Xenopus tropicalis: one gene and its partner. The protein of the gene in region 2 purifies or fractionates together with the protein of the main gene of each other region. This does not show direct contact. Links are inferred from orthologs where the notes say so. Each region holds a gene or a part of one and is shown on either strand. Other genes may lie near its edges.

What was found.
Region 1: the proteins of ptpru (region 2) and golim4 purify together in Homo sapiens (affinity purification with mass spectrometry; 3 studies listed by BioGRID and IntAct, counting the BioPlex papers as one, with this or other methods). This does not show direct contact. The link is inferred for Xenopus tropicalis from reciprocal best matches to the Homo sapiens genes PTPRU and GOLIM4.

What each region holds. Positions count from the first base shown.
Region 1 is NC_030681.2:112,719,323-112,723,153, forward strand, and holds part of golim4 (Golgi integral membrane protein 4), read left to right. Parts: intron 1-2,090; coding exon 2,091-2,240; intron 2,241-2,783; coding exon 2,784-3,155; intron 3,156-3,831. UniProt on the Homo sapiens protein: Plays a role in endosome to Golgi protein trafficking; mediates protein transport along the late endosome-bypass pathway from the early endosome to the Golgi.
Region 2 is NC_030678.2:83,217,307-83,221,137, reverse strand, and holds part of ptpru (receptor-type tyrosine-protein phosphatase U), read left to right. Parts: coding exon 1-130; intron 131-361; coding exon 362-502; intron 503-2,000; coding exon 2,001-2,126; intron 2,127-2,992; coding exon 2,993-3,144; intron 3,145-3,831.

The DNA of each region.
Region 1 (3,831 bases), on a different chromosome or scaffold from region 2:
TCGGACTTTAGTGAATCGGGCCTGTAGTGTTGATGGGTCAAAGTGCTCCAATAATATTTGCTTAGATGTGCCACTCCCCACCGGATCAAAGATAAGGGCATTTTAATTGGTTCAGTTCTGCATTAGAGAGGACCATGATGATCAAACCTGATATTCAAGGTGGCCCAATATGAAAATACATTTTATAACATTGACAAATGAGTATGTAATGGACATTCCAAACAGCATGGAAAGTCCAAACCCCAAATTTTCATAAGCATGAGAGCTTAAGCAGATTTTTGCCTCTGGCTTTTTCTAGAATATAGTCTTTAAGCTGTTGTCCGGTTCTAATTTAAGTGTGACCACACACCCTGCATGATCTCTAAAAATTTCCTTGTGGCAAATCTCAGTGACTTAACAGATAACCTTGTTGTCAGTGGGAAGCAATGAGCTCTTGATACTCTCCCTGTTGAGCTATAACTTTAGCACATCCCACTGATAATAATCAACAGTTATTTCCCTCATTCCACTTTTAGTTACCCTACGTTAGTGTCAAACTAGACATTTGAATGCATCGGTCTTCCAAAAACTCTTGCTAACAAATCTTTTAGAACCTGTGGCTTAGGGGTAAGACCACAGATGGTATGAAAAAAAAAAAACAGGTATCGGTGTTGTCTCTGAGACTTAGTCACTAGTAGGTATACGGCACACACACCATCCAGAATGCAATAGCAAATGCAAAACTCAATGTAGAAATGAAGCAGAAAGCAGCAGTAAATGATCACTTAAAAAAGGGACTAAGCTCCCAAAACATATTATGATAAGCACCAAATTTACATTGCAGACTGAAGTATTGCTGCTTTCTACTTTGTTTCTACAAACCTACAGACTTATTACTATAGATATACTGATTTAGATCAGTGATCCCCAACCAGTGGCTCACAAGCTTACCTTGGATGTTGCTCCCTGTGGCCTCAAAGTAGCAAAGAAGGTGCTTATTTTTAAATTCCTTTTTATCAAAACCACGAGTAGTACCAAACATAGCCTTCTGTATGGTATGAGTTCACATAGGGGCTACCTATGACCAATCACAGACCATATTTTGCACCCCAGGAACCTTTTGAATGCTTGTGTTGCTCTCCAACTCTTTTTATATTCGAATGTGGGTCACGAGTAAGAAAGGTTTGGGATCCCTGATCTAGATGAATAAGAACCGTCACAGACATGTCTGAGATGAGTATGTCTGAGCATACTCCCTTCTGTTAGCCATGGAATTTCCATATGCATAAAGAAATAAATATCAAAATAATTTATTTATGTTAGGTTTATGAATGCCAGGTGAATGTTACTATTGACTTCTTTCAGTGCATTACATACAATAAGAAAATACAGATCATCACATACACATTTTATATGTACAATGTACTTGCCATGTGGGGTACAACCATAAATGGCAAATTTAGCAAACCAGTCACACAGATATCCTGTACGCAAGCAGTTGCAGACTTAAAACATATTTTATATTACCTGTACTAGATTTTTGGCACCCTTAATGAGTACAAAGGGGCAACTCCAAGGTGTGTATGTGCACGTGCATAGTTGCATTACATTACCTAGCTTCTTTAGTCATTTGTGGGAATAGAAATGCCTTTTGGTTTTATTTTTGCTTTGACTGCTGAGGCCTGACCAGAATGCTAAAGACAATATCAGACTCTGTCACCTTTTGACTTTATGTCAATTTGCAATCTGCCAAGATTTGAAGAAGATTTAACTTCCCCGCACCCGTCTGTAGGATTACATGACTTTAATTTATTTCCCATAAATCCTAACTTAAGAAATCCATTTGACAGTTGTTCCTTTGGTACTTTGCCTGAAAGCTAAAAAAATCTGTCTGCAGTACTTATTGTTCCCTAAACATTTCTTTTTCCTGGGGCTTTTAATTCCAGAAATATCCATTTTTCTACTTTTTCTATTTTTCTGTACACTGTCTGTTGCTTTGTTTGCCTGGCTATGCAATCAGTTGTTTAAAAGTTATGATATCGAATTCTGTTCCAAATGAAATTTACTGTTATGTATAAAGGGCATACTTTCTGTTTCTGTATGTTTCTCAGAGCCAGGTAGAAGAGTATGTGCAGTTAAAAAAAGCGCTCAATAAAATGTCAAGCCTACGCCAACCAGAAAAGGACACTGTACCAATAGGACGAAATAATTCACCGACCATTGCACCCACTCAGGAACACGCCACAGAACAAGAGCTTATGGTAAGCTCTGAGCAGAGTCTGATCTGGTTAAGACTGTTTTAAGGCTAAATTATTATATATGTGTGTGTCTGATATATATAGATAATTTAGATATTTATATTGTGAATAAAGTACCCCTAATTGTAAAATATAAGAATAATTGTCAGTCACCTAGGAGTTCCATGACCATATAAAAACATGAAGCCGAAGGCTGAGTGCTTTTATACAGGTCATGTAACTCTGAGGTAATTTCTAATATCCTTATATTTTGGAACAGGGGGTACTTAATTTTTCATTATACCCAAATGCAGTGTTTTGTCACCTATAATTTCTCACAGATGGTAAATAGAAACAAAATTTACTTTATTAAAACATTGAAGTCAGCATTTGATAATCTGAGTGATTGCAAGCTCTAATAAGCAGGCTCTCTTTACCTCCTATTTCAGTCAGTATTTGTAAGGAACTTGTATGTTTGATTGCTATAGCTTTGAATTACTCTTCTGGAGAGTTTGCATATCGAAAAACTGTCATTTAAAGAGGGTGCTGTATCTTTTATGTCTGCAGACAAATGTTCAGACTCGCCAAGTAGTGGATCATGATATCATCATCAGGTCAAGCACTGCTGCCAATGATGAAGCTGTACATCTGAACAGAGTAAAAACAAATCTTGACAAGCCAGATGAAGACACTGTGCCATTGCCAGAGGCAGAGGCTGCTACTGAGCATCCTGTTGAAGTAGAAGAGGAACACAAAAAAGAACTGGAGGAAGAAGAAATGGAACAGGTTGGAAAGCCAGAACGTTTGGTTGAAGAACAGGATCAAGTGCAAGAGGAACAGGAACAACACAAACCAGAAGAGGACGATGCATTGGAAGGAAATAACGAGGAGCAAAAGGAAGAGGAGACCAACAATATGCAAGGAAATAAACATACTGAGGTGAGATAATTACTGTGAATTCATAAAAATCTTTAGACAATATGTTATCGCATGTCTGAAAGCATGTGATGGCTGGTATGATTTAATCCTTCCAAAACAATGAGAGCTACGTTTCAAAGATAGTTTGTGACACTGTAGCACACAGCAATGTAAGGCAACTAAATTGTGCTCCATATTAAAGGAGAAACTTAAAGGAGGAATAAACTTGAGTATTCTAGTGTTCAGTATGAATGTAGTGTACTTCTCATTATGACTGTGTATATAATGTTTAGTAGAGCTGTGCCCTACTGTAAAGTATTCATGCCATGCAATGTGTTATAAAAGTATGGATACTAAATAAATATGTATATATTCTATGGCCTTGTGTGTCTGCCAATATTTTTTCCTTTATATAGCACCATATTTGCAGGCCCAATAAAAGCTCAAGCATAAATTTTAGTTTTTTTTTTTTCCAATCTACATAAATGCATCTTCTGTTTTTGGCTTAGCTGAATAGGATTAAAGTGAAACTGAAAGGATTATGTGAAACTGAACCTTGTCAAACATGCTTGGTTTTCTCCAAAAACTGTATTGTTCCAACTATACAGTTAGAACATGGAATGGATATGCACTGCCTGTATTTAATGTTCCTGTGCCATTGCGGGTATGTAGGTTGTATGTAACCTTGTCTTTCTTG
Region 2 (3,831 bases):
TGCCCTTTTGCCACACAATCGAGACAAGAACCGCAGTATGGATGTGCTACCCCCAGACCGTGCCCTTCCTTTACTGCTGTCTGCTCATGGAGAAGATACCAGCAATTATATTAATGCTGTCCTGACAGATGTATGTTAAAATTGTAAATGTTTCTCTCTTTGAATGTAGTGAAGTTATGACAAAACACATCACCTGGTACTATCTTGTCTTACAGTTATTTCCACATTTCTTTCAGCCTTGTAGATTTCCCTTTTATTGTACTGCTAAAAGTTCCCAGGTTTTCATCCATACTCCTCTACGTATTAACTTGTATCATGCTTTTCTGCCACAGCTAATATGGTTTGAAAATTGTTTCTGCAGAGCTATACACGGAGTTCAAATGTGATCATAACTGTGCACCCCCTGCAGAACACAATCACCGACTTCTGGAGACTGGTGTATGATTACGGTTGCAGCACTGTTGTAATGTTAAATCAGCTTAACCAATCCAATTCTGCTTGGGTAAGGGTTTCCCAGGTTCCACTCTATGTAGTTGTTAACACAATCCTTTCTCAAGACATGACATAGAACAATTAAATATATTTTGTTATCAAGGAAATGCAGAGGCTAAAACAGAAAAAGGTAATTTTTCTGTGTGCATCTCCTTAGCATTCATTCTGTCATTTCTCCCTCTTATTTGCCTTCAGGCAACAATATATCCTTTATCACTGCCAACTATGATCCTGGGCACAGTACAATCTTTTTGCTACAATTCAGTGGTTTTCTTAGAATTTCAGCCTCAATGTTCCCACCCCTATATACAAAGCAAAGCTATAATAGAGGCAAAATAAATGCACCCATTTGCAAAGTGTGGGTTGGGCATTGGCATTCACTTACATGTTATTTGGTTATCAGGTTGTAAAAAAACAGTTTAAAGGAAAAGTAACACTAAAATTTGTTGAATAAGCTATTCTACCCTACACCAATAACTGCCCTATCCTGCAAACCCCTTAGTATTTTGAATGCTTTAAAAGAAAACTTGGCTTCCTGTTAATTGAACTAAGGTGATACGGCGAAGAAGGAGCAGCAATCACTATGCGACGATCGATTCATCGAGTCTAGCCTTCCTTCTGTATAGGAAGGAGTCAGGCTAGACTCGATCAATCGATCCTCGCATAGTTGATGCCTGCTCCTTCCTTCGCCGTATCTCCTTAGTTCAATTGACAGGAAGCCACAGGAAGCCAAGTTTTAACAGGTATTTTCTTTTAAAGCATTCAAAATACTAAGGGGTTTGCTGGATAGGGCAGTTATTGGTGCAGGGTAGAATAGCTTTTTCATTTAAAAAATGTCAGTGTTACTTTTCCTTTAAGCGCTTCACAATGTAAATACTGGCACAAAGAATGTATTCACATTAAATAGATAACAGAAAATTCGCAAACACTCTATAGCTTTTTTAAATCACACAATTTGGAAATATTTTTGTAGATAGTAACGTTCCCACAAGTTGTAAGTGAAGATTCCTATCCTTTCATTTAAATCAACCCTAGGGCATAACCATCAGATCAATCCGATATCACCCACCTCAAGGTGGGCATATGGGGGAAAGATCCGTTCATTTGGTGACCTCGCCAAACGAGCTGATTTTTCAGTGTATGGCCAGCTTTACTGTCCAGCCATATGAGTGTATATGGTCACTTTGGCAGACAGATTGGGCAGAATTTTGCAATTCCATTGGATTTCAGTCAGTATTTCCAGCTACCTTTCACTTCAGTTAAGATCTGCTCAGTCCAAATGAACAAAAAAGAAATAAGATTGGATATTATACATGTGTTCAGACTGGTGTGTATGGCTACTTTTAACACTGGAGATTTCTGCTTATCTTTCTCTTTGCTCTTGTATTTGATGTCTCCTCCATTACATTTTACACCTTTCATTTAATAAATACCAGTGTCTGTAGGCAAACATTATCAATGTCTTCCAGCTTTGTGTCACACTATTACTACCTTTTTTAATTACACAGCCCTGTCTTCAGTACTGGCCAGACAGTGGGATATGCCGATATGGGCCCATGGAAGTACAGTTTGTATCAGGGTCAGTGGAAGAGGATGTTGTTACTCGTGTATTCCGTGTGCAAAATATCGCAAGGGTAAGTGCTTGACTTGATAGCCTAAAATACAAGTAGATGATCCAGTCATGATCCAGTCAATCTGGAAGTTGTAGATTTAATGACACCCATAAGAGGATGTTTTCAAATAATCTCTATCCAATAATTTCAGTTAGTTAACTTTTACTGATAGTGTTTACTGAAGTGTATCAATGAACACGGAGTATTGGTGTGATATAGACTTTGCAGATTTATGTTTTACAATAACTGACTAATGACATGTAAGTGGTCAAAACAGGCGTGAGCCACCTTTACCACAGTAGTGGTCAGAAATTGGCCCAGGTACTTTTGCAGGGGTAGCAGATTCCACAGGACAAGTTACTTGCGCCCAGATAGCAAACTTCCTGTTCTTCACAGGAGGTTAGGCTCTTTTAATATAGGAGAATGCCCGCTGAGCTGCCTTTATTTATATGCCCATCCAGCCTCTGACATCACAGAGGGAGCGGGGCAGACACGTGTCTATAAATACAGCTGTCAGAGATGGAAGAGGGGCACAGTTAGGTCATGGGTGGGGAAGGAGGCTGGCAACCGCCTGCAACAGGATATTGGCTGTGCATGTTGGTGGCCCACACATCACTAGTCCCCAACCTTTTTTACTTGTGAGATATATTTAAATATAATAAAGATGGGGAGCAACACAAGGATTTAAAAAGATCCTAGGCGGTGACTAATTAGGGCTGTAAATGGTTGGAGGAGGCTCTGTTTGGAAGTACAACTTACCTTTAAGTCAGAAATTCTAAAAATAAGCACCTACTTTAAAACTACTCTAAACCATTGAACCTGGCCCTCTCCCTCCACCCCTAATTTGTCTTTGTTTTGTTTCTAACGTTTCCTGCTGGTTGCTGCAGGATGAGCATCTTATGGTGAAACATTTCCAGTACCTTCGTTGGTCTCCGTACAGAGAAACACCAGACAGCAAGAGATCCTTCCTACAACTTCTGTCACTAGTGGAACAGTGGCAGGAACAGAACAGAGAGCACAGGACACTAGTACATTGCTTGTAAGTATTGGCACTAATATGTGTAGAATTAAGAGATATGACCAATTATTTCATTGCAATACGTATTAATTTAAATCAGAAGGGAAGTTGAAGGATTCAAAGAAATGCTAGAAATAGAGTCTATTATATAAATGTAAAGAAAGAATAAATTAGGAGTGACATGTTGCTTCTACAGTGCAGAAACTGTGATTGATATATGCCAGATATGATGATCATACTGGATTAGGTGTATGACTCTTATGCTAGGGTCAGAAATGACTGTGAAGAATCTGAGTGAGCATTAGGAATCTCTGTAAAAGTACCTTTACAGTTTCATGTACTAGGGGTAGACACAATAGGGTTGACTCACTAAAGTGCGATAAGCGTTATCACATGCTTTTTGTGTTAAAATTGATGCAAAAAAAAAATGCGCGATTCGCTAAAGTATTATCGCATCCGTTAAGTCTCATATCGCGTGCGTTAAATAGCGCACAACCAAATTCGTTAATTTTACATATTAATTAGCGTGCAGAAATAATACTAACGCATGATTCACAAACACCATTAGTCTGTGCGAAAATTTACACCTACTTGGGGCAGGCGGTAATTATAGAAAAGTACAGTTCATGAGCTTTTGGCAACACAATATGGACTTTGCTGTGTGATTTATTCAAGTATGTGTTGGCCCTAGAGTGATGCATCCTCCAG